3 linked regions of the Xenopus tropicalis genome follow. The protein of the gene in region 2 interacts with the protein of the main gene of each other region in a biochemical or structural test. Links are inferred from orthologs where the notes say so. Each region holds a gene or a part of one and is shown on either strand. Other genes may lie near its edges.

Region 1 (4,280 bases), on a different chromosome or scaffold from region 2:
CGGAAAAGATTGGCAGAATCCAGAGCCTAGTTCGCCAGCTCATCCATACTCCTCAGCCCTCCATTCGGTTTGCCATGCAAGTGCTGGGGTCTCTGGTGTCCTCTATAGAAGCAGTTCCCTTTGCCCAGTTCCACCTAAGGACTCTACAGTGGAACATTCTGGATCAATGGAACCGCAGCTCCCTCTCCCAGCCAATCAAACTGTTACCCAGAACAAGAGTGGCCCTGTCTTGGTGGCTCAACCCGACTCACCTGGAGAAGGGACGCTCCCTACAGGAACCACAGTGGATTATTCTAACCACGGACGCCAGCCTCCAGGGCTGGGGCGCAGTACTGGGACAGCTCTCAGCTCAGGGAACCTGGACAGCAGCAGAAGCTCAACTTCCAATCAATATTTTGGAAATCAGAGCAGTACGCCTAGCCCTATACCATTGGCAGAACCGACTCACAGGGCGCGACATCAAGATCCAATCGGACAACGCAACCACGGTTGCATACCTGAACCACCAGGGGGGCACAAGAAGTCGACAAGCCCTCAAAGAGGTCAGTCGCATCCTAACATGGGCAGAAGCAAGGGACGTCCGGCTAACGGCAATCTACATTCCGGGACTCGAGAACTGGCAGGCAGACTATCTCAGCCGTCAAAGAATCGATCCAGGGGAATGGGCCCTGAATCCCAAGATCTTCCTAGACATCGTGGACCGATGGGGTCTCCCCGAAGTAGACCTCATGGCCTCTCGTCAGAACCGGAAGGTGACACACTTCATGTCCAGATGTCGAGACCCTCTAGCATTAGCAGCGGATGCCCTGACGGCCACGTGGGACTTCGACCTGGCCTACGTCTTCCCACCTCTCCCTCTGCTTCCAAGAGTCCTCCGAAAGATCAGATCCGAAAGATGCACAGTCATACTGATAGCTCCACATTGGCCCCGAAGAGCCTGGTTCACCGAGCTGGTGGCCCTCAGCAGAGCAGATCCGTGGCCTCTACCTCTCACTCCCGATCTTCTCACCCAAGGGCCAATCCTACACCCCGATCCAACCTTCCTGAATTTGACGGCGTGGCGATTGAGTCGCTAGTCCTTGCCCGAAAAGGTTTTTCCCAAGATGTCATACGCACCCTGATGGCGGCCAGAAAGCCCGTTTCATCCAAGACCTACCATCGTGTATGGAAAACGTACAGTGACTGGTGCAATCAGACAGGAAATTCCTTCCAGGACCTATCAGTCCCCCGACTACTATCCTTTCTGCAGTCAGGCCTGGACAAGGGCCTCTCACTGAGTTCCTTAAAATCTCAAATCTCTGCTCTTTCCGTCCTTTTCCAACAACGGTTAGCCATCCTTCCCGACGTTGCCACATTCATCCAAGGGGTATCTCACATTTGTCCCCCCTTCCGAGAACCGCTGCCGCCATGGGATCTCAACCTAGTACTATCAGCACTGCAAGTTTCTCCATTCGAGCCACTAGCCACCATTCCACTAGCCTGGTTGACCTGGAAGACAGTTTTCCTTCTGGCCATCGCTTCAGCTCGCAGAGTGTCGGAAATTAGCGCTCTCTCCAATCAGCATCCATTTCTCATATTCCACGCGGATCGAGCAGTTCTACGAACCCTCCCATCCTTTGTTCCCAAGGTTGTTTCGTCCTTCCACATAAATCAGGACATCACCATTCCCTCGTTCTGTCCTCATCCAGCCTCTCCCAAAGAGGTGGCCTTACACTCCCTGGACCCGGTGAGGGCCCTAAAATTCTACTTGCACCGTACCCAGGACATAAGAGCGACGACCTCTCTATTTATCCTTCATTCAGGACAACGAAAAGGTCACCAGGCATCTAAGACCACCATATCTCGCTGGATACGGGAAACCATACGAAGAGCCTACATCGCCCGTGGGAGATCTCCCCCCACACAAATCACGGCGCACTCCACCAGGGGCATAGGCACCTCCTGGGCCTTCAGGAACAGAGCCTCAGCTGAACAGGTTTGCAGGGCCGCTACTTGGTCCTCCATCCATTCATTCACAAAATTCTACCAATTTGAGGTATTCGCAGCATCAGACGCGCACTTTGGTAGAAAAGTTCTACAAGCGGCAGTCAATTAATACTTAGCATATCAGACCGCTTCTCCCACCCTGAATTACTGGGACAGCTTTGGTATGTCCCCATGGTCCCTGTGTCCCACAGACGACTGCTAGAGAAAAGGAGATTTTGTGATACTCACCGTTAAATCCTTTTCTCTCAGGAAGTCTGTGGGACACAGGGCTTCCCCCCCTGGAAGCGGAAAACATCTGAACTTCTCTCTGCCTACATGTATATAGTTACTAGTTACTCGTTACCTTGTTGGTTCTTGTTGACAAAACTGGTGAAGGCAGGAAGTGCAAGGGGGTATAGCAGCAGGGAGGAGGGGTTAGGCCTCTTCTTCCTATTCTAGTGTCCTGCCTCCTGCTGGTACCTACTATACCCCCATGGTCCCTGTGTCCCACAGACTTCCTGAGAGAAAAGGATTTAACGGTGATTATCACAAAATCTCCTTTTATTTCAGCCATGTTCATTTGCATGTTATCAGCCAAGACTTTGATTCCCCTTGCCTTAAAAACAAAAAGCACTGGAACTCTTTCACTACGGATTACTTTTTGGAATCCCAAGGTAGGAATTTGTTTATATTCATTTTCTTCTGTGAAAAAAAATCTAGAAGATATTCAAGGGTTCTGTGATAAGTAAAATTGATTTTGTGATCTAAAAAAAAAACATTTGTACAGCGAGCATGCAGCTCATTTTTCTAATGGAAAAAGTAATATGTTGAACTACACAGCCTCCTGTGTCCTGGTGCACTCAAAACTCATTTAGTGCCCAGTATATGTGAATACATACAACTTCCCCTGGTCACACTGTGAGTTTAACTCCACCAGACAGAATAATGACAAAAAAGCAGAATATAAAACCAGGAACCAATATAACCGAGCTTTTACCGATTAGGATTAATCTTTACAGTCCAGGCTGTTCCCCCAAACAAAACAAGTTTGCAGTGGCTGCCCCTATGGCTACACAGCAGCTTATTTGTATGAACTATAGTAGTGTATCTGATGATAATGCACAATTTTACCAGTGAAGATCAACATTACATTATATTTTAATTTGTTACTGTTCATCAAGTCTTTGTAAAAGGGTTTCTAAACCTTTTTTTTTTTTTTTTTGTAAGCTATGATTGAAATGATAAAAACACATGGCAAAGTCAACGTCAAAGATGGAGTGTCTGAGCTTCTGAAAACTCCTCTTATGTGCCACATTTGCAGGAAGGAGCAAGCAAATATGCCTCAACTGAAGGAGCACTTAAAGAAGCACTGGCCAACATAATATATTGGTATTTTATTGTAGTCCTGGTTTTGGAGATTCTCATAGAAACTTTTGCTTATACAAAAGAATACATTCTACTCCTAGTGTGCCCTTTTTAATATCCATTTTCATTTGCTAGGGCTTCTGTTGTTTGTTTGGTTAGTTAAAAACTGATACTAAAAGGGCGGACAGTTCCAAAGCATCCTTGCCACATGGGTGTATTTTAATTTTTTAGCCTGTGTTTGGCCATCCAGTCTGTCATTTGCTTCAGTAGAATCCATCTGTCACTAGACTGATTTCTGGCAGAAAATGTATAAATGTGTTTTCCTGTCAAAATCCACATCAACTCTAATGTCATGCAGATTTCATTCTAAGACAGACTGAGCAGCCACACTGGGGTGCTTCTTTTCTGTTTGAGAATGCAGGTATATAATATGTGCCATGAAAAAAAAAATAGAAAAAGAACAGGGCCAGATGGGTTACAATACACAAATTCTTAACGTTCCACCTTTTGGCTACAGATCAGCAGGTGTTATCTGAGTTAATTAATTGAAACACTGCACTACAGGTTGCCTTTCTTTACTAAATGTTTTTTCAGAAGTTGGCTATATTAAACATGTCTGTGGGCAGGGCTATCACAGTCCTGCGTGTTGCAGTGTCACCTGACCAATCCCAGCAGATTTGCTGCTCAGGACTCACCCCAAAGCTTAAGGCTAATGCCAGACGAGGCGCTTGCTGAAAATTCCGCCCTACGCCTCCTACATGTGCCTGCACTCGGATGAATGGAATACGCTCGGGTGCCGAAATACGCATAAAATGCGAGACTTTCAAACCTCGCGTTGTTATGCGTATTTCCGCTACATGTGCCTGCACCAGAGCATATTCCATTCATTCGGGTGCAGGCACAAGTAGGAGGCATAGGGCGGAATTTTCAGCAAGCGTTTTTCCACTTGC
Region 2 (3,500 bases):
CCCAGACGTGGAATTAAATCTCAAGGCTCACAGAAATCACGTGACAGGTACGCTGCTACTGTGTCCCAGCCTCAAGGTGTCATCCAAGTGAAGGAAAAAAAAAATTTTTTTTACCTTTTGGCTTTTTGGGTGCTGGCTGTGATGTGCTCTCTTTGGCGGAAGATGGGGACTTATTGACTTCGTGTTTCTTGACTGCCGAGTGGCTTGAGGGTTCTTTACTGAACTCAAACTTCCGTTTACCAGATGACGGTTCCTAGAGAGAACAGCAACTGCTCAGAACAAACTAGAACTTCACTGGCATTGGTCTTTGGATGTTAAAGGGGACCAATTCTTTGTATTTGTTTAATGAAAACATTGAGACAAATATATTTCCCCTCTTACTTTTGTCCATAAGCTCCTATGCTGCCGTTACCAACTCATCTTTCCAACTTGACCCTCAGTAAAAATACATTATTTCTTGCTGTCTGACCACAACCTTCCTTTTTAAGCTCTAGAAGACTTTCTGTAGTCTCAATCCCCCTATACGTAGCCAGCAAGGGTTATGGGTTAGTGCCCAAAGGGACATGGTGTAACATCTCTGGGACACAGCTGACAATAAAGCTGCCACATTTGGAACATCTGTAGCGCATACATGGGTATGATAGGTATACCCTATGCTGATAGAGGAGACAGAGGCGGTCGGTGTATCCATGCCCACACCCAACTTACTCACCTTTGGGATGTTATTACTTGGTGGGGTTTTAACAGTCTGTTTTTCAGTGCTGGAGCTGGCCTCTCCTGTGCCCTGTAATGTCGCAGACGCATAGCTTTGTGTGGCTGGTGGAGCTGTAAAAGAACACAATAGCTAAGTGGCAGTATAAAGGGAATAGTGTTGGAGGGAGAATTTAAAAACTCTTAGTATGTTATAGAATGGTCAATTCTAAGCAACTTTTCAATTGCCCTTCATTATTTATGTGTTTTGAATAACTTGCCACCTTCTCTATGGAGTTTTGAAAAGGGGGTCACTGATCCGGCAGCCAGAAATCAATTGCTCTGTTAGGCTACAGTATTATTGTTATTGTTACTTTATTTTCTATTCAGTCCCTTTCCTATTCATATATCAGTTTCTCATTCAAACCACGCCCTGGTTGCTAAGGTAACTCTGACCCTAACAACCAAATAACTACTGAAACTCCAGGCTGGAGAGCTCCTGAACTGAAAATAATAAAAAATGAAGACCAATTGCAAAATATCTCAGAATATCACTCTCTACATCATAGTAAAAGTTAACTCAAAAGGTAAACAACCCCTTTATAGCTGTTTTGCCATATGGTTGCAGTACAAGCCATGAAGTAAAGTAACCCTATGACTCAAGAGTTACTGTACCTGCAATGTACCTAATAGCGTAGGTAATGCAATGCACACAGTTTCTGTACAAGTTTCAGGGGCACTCACACATTTCAGAAAATAACTAATAGAGGGAATTACAAGGGATATGTGCAGAATAGCTTACTTTTCGGAGGAGTAACCTGCGGCTTGCTGGTGCGGCTGAAAAACAGACTCCCGGGACGCATAGAAGGAGATGAGTTCTCTTCTTCCTTTACCATAAACTGCCCAAGTTTGGTCACTTTCTGCAGAAGAGCATAGTAATGATTTATAATCCATGGCAGCATAAACACAAGGTGAACTTTCCTAAACCGGCACTGTTCAAAATTAGGTCAGCCTGTCATGTAAGCTGATGAGACAGAGCTGAATGTGCAGGGAACCAGCAGAAAAGAAGATATGGGGGGGGCTACTGGGGCATCTTTGGGGGCACAGATCTTCCCTGCTAAAGGGCTGTGGTTGCCTTGGGCCAACCACAAGTTCTGGGATAAGTGCTGATTTGCAGTCTTAGATATCACTGGAACTACAACCTATGAATGATATAAAGTTTTACATGTTAGTAACCTTTGCTATTAGGTAAGTGATTAAATGAAGACGGGATTAAAAAGGGCATGAGCAAAGAAATATTTATGGTCCCCTATATCACAGATAATGAATTGTTCCTTATGTAGAACCCCTTGTATTTGCTTATGTATCAGTCAAGCAAGCACAGGTAGAATGCATACCGGTGAGGGAGCGGTGGGCGAGCCATCCTCTGGAGGGGAGTTCAGACGTATGAATGAAATACCATAAGCAAGGTTCTAATGAGACAAGAGAACATGAAATGGTTTATAGAAAAACGTGCATCCAGCTATATACTAAAGGCTTGCCAACAAACTCCACAGAAATTACCACACTTCAGCAAAGGAAAAGTGTACTTCTCATGCCTGATCCGCACCCAACCTGAACCCACAACGGTCGCCCAAATTTCAACTCTAACTTACCTGACCTCGACCCACACATCACAACAAATACTAATTGTATCTACATTCTGTTTGTTAATTATATATCCCACAAAGCTCTCCGCTCTGTAAGCAGACACTGCACACCTTAGTGTAGGGTTGGGTGCACACAATCTTCACCCGATCCCATTTCTTTTCAGCTGCTCCTTTCACGAGCTTGTCTGGTCCGAACATTCGCAGCCGATTCAGGTTGCTTTCATTCTTGCTCTCGCTAGGAGACATGAACGATGACATTCCCAGGAGGACCTATGCAGAGACAAGCAAGATGGGAATTGGCACATCAGGTCTGTATTCCTCACAACTGTACTAACTTGCTATCTGCATTTACATTCTGTGAGCTCTGGAGAGTAAAATGCTATAGCAAACTATCCCTAAGCAGGAACACACAGAGTTTTCGTCACTTTCTTCACTGACTCTATATCATTAATCACAAAGCGCTGAGGACACGGTATTGTATTTACCACACTATCCCTAAGTATGAGATTGGCCCTGGGTAGTTGATGGTGTCCAGAGTTCTCCTTAACCAGCAGCACCCCCATCCTCAAGGAGCACGACCAACTTAAATGCCATTTCCGTTTGCTAAATGTTTAGGGAGCTTTACAGACATAGGATGCTCTCGCTATAGCCTGTGCTTTTTCTGCCTCCATATTAATGGTAATCTTTTTTACTTTAATAAACAATCATCCCAACCACTGCATATGGCACTATAGGTACCTGCCATACCTCATATTCCTGCTCGCTGATTGAAGTGGAGTGTCCGACCAGCACTTCCACAAACGCAGAACCTTCATTGCCAATATCAATGCTGTGGACCTGCTCCTCCTTTTCAAACTGCAGAAAATCAAAGGCACCAGAGTAAGCTGAGGTCAGTACCCATGCACGTATAGGCACACACGGCATGAAATTAGAGCAGTAATTATTTTTTATTTCATTTATTGCTGTTATTTATATAGTGCAGCTACATTTCCGCAGCGCTTTTACAGAGATTATTCATCAGTCCCTGCCCCAGATCTTACAATCTAGGGTCCCTATCACATTCACACACACTATGGTCAGTTTAATCAGAAGCCAATTAACGTGCCTGTATGTTTTTAAAGTGTGGGAGGAAACCGACGTACCCAGATGAAACCCATGCAG
Region 3 (3,500 bases), on a different chromosome or scaffold from region 2:
CACGTGGAAGCCCATAACCTACAATACAGAAAGAAAATCATTCCAGTGAAGCCCCACTGAGCATTTCAGCCATATTATAGGCTCAGGGTGGCATGTCTCTGTGGGCTTTCACTAAACTGTGCCTTGCCACCTAAAACTAATGTTACACGGGTGACTTTTCCCACCTAGTAAAGGCATAGGAAACCCCCCCCCCATACTGATTTTAACAGTGCTGCCCCCCCCAACAAAGGCTCCCTGCAAAGTGCATCAAGAGCTGCTACCTACAGCCCCATACTCGGCCTAAGAAAGCAGAGTAGGATGGTTGAAGGACACCATGTCTGGCCACTTCACAAGCAGTGTCCAGGCTCACAACCAGAAGAATGTGAACTGGAAACCAGGTCCACATTGGCTTTTACTGTGCATGTTCCTCCCAAGCAAACACCACCTGGAAACCTAAACTTATTAAGGAGCCACATGTGGCAGCAGGCAACCCAGCATTGCTACTCTTTGTAAAAACAAATTGTGAGCAAGAGGGCAGCCAATGCTGGAGTACTTGATGGGGTGGGTGAAATGGGACCCTTTTTTAAAAAAAATAAATAAATAATATGGGTGGGTTTCATTGTCCCACCTGGATCACAGAGCGGTATAAGCACATTTCTTTGGATGCCAGTGATATATGAGCAATAATAACACAATACCACAGTAGTTTAATTTTCCAGATGTTGAACCAAATCTACCTTACCCAAAACACTAAAATAAAATTCTAATACATCACATCCCAAACTGTGGGTGCCAATGATCTGCTGTGCAAGAGATTTTCTATGGCTGCTTGGCTGATCCAGTGTTTTCATATGAGCCAAGGCTGGAGCTGACAAAATGCCTGACTTCATAGGGGCTTGTACTTCATAACCTTCACTGCGGCCATGAAACAACTGTGTAAATATAAAAGAACAGTTTAGGACAATACCATAAATTTTGTGTCTCCCTTTACAAGCGTGTCTGTGATAAACTCGCATTCTTCCAGGCATTGCACGACCTGACGCAAAAGGTGTGGCTGGGAAGAGAAAGACAGAAAATATCATTAAATCCTCACCTGGCTCTTCAATGGTTTATGCTGCGAAGCAAATATGGCAGCTTCACTGGAGCACAACGGATTTAGGTTTAAAGGTCACAACTAATGGGACGATCATTGGTTTCTGACCTGTTTGGCAGATTCCGAAGTGAAGTCTGGGTGAGTCAGGAGAACGTCCATATCCCCACTGGACTCTGCACCTGGAAACAAACATGGGGGAAAAGGAGATGTTAAAAAGGGAGGTCACGTTCTTGTGTAAAAAAAAAAATGTAATTGCTATCTGGTTGCTGGGGTCAATGATTCCCGGCAACCATAAAGAATAATTAATTTTTAAATAAATAAGGTTTCTTTCCAGTCGCTTTCATAATCATCTTCCTTTCCTATACCATGCCAGTATAGCCACTACTTAGTGGGTAGGGAACTGGTGAAGGGACGCCCAGAAACCATACATAATATGAAAAGAAATATTAAAGGGGTAGTTCACTTCTAAACCAACTTTTAGTATGTAACAGAACAGCAACTTTTCAAATGGTCTTCATTATTTATAGTTTTTAATTTTTTTTTTTTTTTTAAGATCCCCTTTAAAAGGGGAAGGACTAACATAGTTAGGTCTTGGAAACAGAAGGACAGATTAGAAAAAGGGTTGTGTAGAAGTGTAAATAGGCACAACAAGAACCAGCATTTTAATATATACACCTCGTCTGAAGCTTCCACACACTGTGGCGATGTACTGAGGGTCCAGGATTTTTATTCTATCTATAACTTTTTCCTGCAAGAAAATAAACAAACATGGTTATTTAGACAAACACAAAGATATATATTTATGCCATAAGATCCATGATAAACCGAACAAAAACATCCAACAAATTATTATTGCTATGCTCTTTTTTATACACAGAGCTTTACAGAGATTATTTGGCATTTACATCAGGCCCTGCCCCACTTCTGGGGTGTACAGTACACTCTAATTATGCCACTGCTCCTATCCTGTAACTCTCCAGCCCTTTCATGGCAGTCAAGGTGTCTGATGGAATTTATGACTACCTCGCCTTGATGGTGACCCTGAGTATTACAGCCAAACAACTTGGATGGTTTTAACCTATAGTACAGTATATTTCCCCTGCAATGAAAATATTCCACAAGTCAACTGACCAAATCACAATCATGACACTGCCAATCAGAGGTCAGAAATATATCTAATTGGTCAGTTCTAATACAGATATCCCACACGCCATGAACTGGGATATCAGTCTGCCTCTTCATTTTTGCCAATTAACACTTGGGTGATCACAGTTTGATGGCCAAAGCATCATGGGGGGCCTCATTAACCTATGCTCATACAATACAGTCAAAAATTATGGTTAGAAATGTACTGGCAAGTATAGGAAAAATAAATAAAACATGCTTTGGTGATCCTATCTGCACTAGCAATGCTGTATGGGAAGTGCTCAGTACGGTAAAGATATATGTACACAGTACCTGCATTTGTATCATCTCCTTACGCGGGATCCGTTTCTCAAAATCATCAAAGTATCTGCAGATACAAAACACATGCTTTAATAGTATCTATATACACATGAACAATCCCTCTGTATCAGGGAACTATCATCTCACTCTCTGTTGTGCATAGGACCTGTCAGTGGTGGAGTGGGGTCACTGACACTCTATGAATGACTGGTAGTGCCAGCACTTCTGTACTGTTATTCCTTCTCTCTGTATTAAGGTGGCCATATACGTAGCGATTCTGATCTTTCGTGCAACTGACGTTCAGGGCTGAATCGTCAGATATGGAGGTAAAAACAACAGAAATTATACCTCCCCCTGGCGATTCAGCCCTGAACGTAGATTTTGCTTGGGCGCCTTCAATGGTGCCCGATCAAAATCTTCTGACCTGGCCAATCGATCAATATATGCAGCCTTCTGCGTTATCGGTTGCCTCTTCGAGCAGTCATACATGCACAGAATATTGTACGAAACAAGGTTTCGTACAATATTATTGGTGCATGTATGGCCAGCTTTAGTCTGCCCGCTCTTCCCCACCATATTGTGCCTGTACCAGACTGTATGAAAGCACCAGTTCTTCCCGTAACTTAATGCAGTCTCTGATGTGCCTGCATGCACGGATTATATCATTTTTTCACCATTATACTCACTTCAATCCAATCTTCTGATGGTGATTCAATTTATGCTCATTATTTCTGAGATCTGGAGAACAAGAGAACAGGATTATTTATAGATGTGACATGGATATGGGCATCAACCTTCTCTCCTGTACAATTGAAACATTGGACCATGTGAAAATAAACCCTTTAAATATGTGACTGTCAATAGTGATAGACTGTGGAATTACAACACATGCATTTAGTTACAACCTTTAGGCCCTGGCCAGAAAGGAGACTCTCACATTAAGCAAAAATCTTTAAAGGAGACCTGCACTGCCCCCCTCCTT

What was found. The genes of interacting proteins can lie anywhere in the genome.
Region 1: the proteins of xrcc1 (region 2) and aptx form a complex in vitro, tested with the Homo sapiens proteins (2 studies listed by BioGRID). The link is inferred for Xenopus tropicalis from reciprocal best matches to the Homo sapiens genes XRCC1 and APTX.
Region 3: the proteins of xrcc1 (region 2) and polb form a complex in vitro, tested with the Homo sapiens proteins (5 studies listed by BioGRID, with this or other methods). The link is inferred for Xenopus tropicalis from reciprocal best matches to the Homo sapiens genes XRCC1 and POLB.

The regions. Positions count from the first base shown.
Region 1 is NC_030677.2:94,471,890-94,476,169, forward strand, and holds the end of aptx (aprataxin), read left to right. Parts: intron 1-2,535; coding exon 2,536-2,639; intron 2,640-3,192; coding exon 3,193-3,347; 3' UTR 3,348-3,780; downstream 3,781-4,280. UniProt on the Homo sapiens protein: DNA-binding protein involved in single-strand DNA break repair, double-strand DNA break repair and base excision repair.
Region 2 is NC_030683.2:118,935,119-118,938,618, reverse strand, and holds part of xrcc1 (DNA repair protein XRCC1), read right to left. Parts: intron 3,195-3,500; coding exon 3,087-3,194; intron 2,610-3,086; coding exon 2,451-2,609; intron 2,163-2,450; coding exon 2,088-2,162; intron 1,611-2,087; coding exon 1,493-1,610; intron 826-1,492; coding exon 713-825; intron 254-712; coding exon 115-253; intron 1-114. UniProt on the Homo sapiens protein: Scaffold protein involved in DNA single-strand break repair by mediating the assembly of DNA break repair protein complexes. Negatively regulates ADP-ribosyltransferase activity of PARP1 during base-excision repair in order to prevent excessive PARP1 activity.
Region 3 is NC_030679.2:130,625,430-130,628,929, forward strand, and holds part of polb (DNA polymerase beta), read right to left. Parts: intron 3,257-3,500; coding exon 3,205-3,256; intron 2,586-3,204; coding exon 2,531-2,585; intron 1,821-2,530; coding exon 1,748-1,820; intron 1,252-1,747; coding exon 1,181-1,251; intron 1,034-1,180; coding exon 947-1,033; intron 1-946.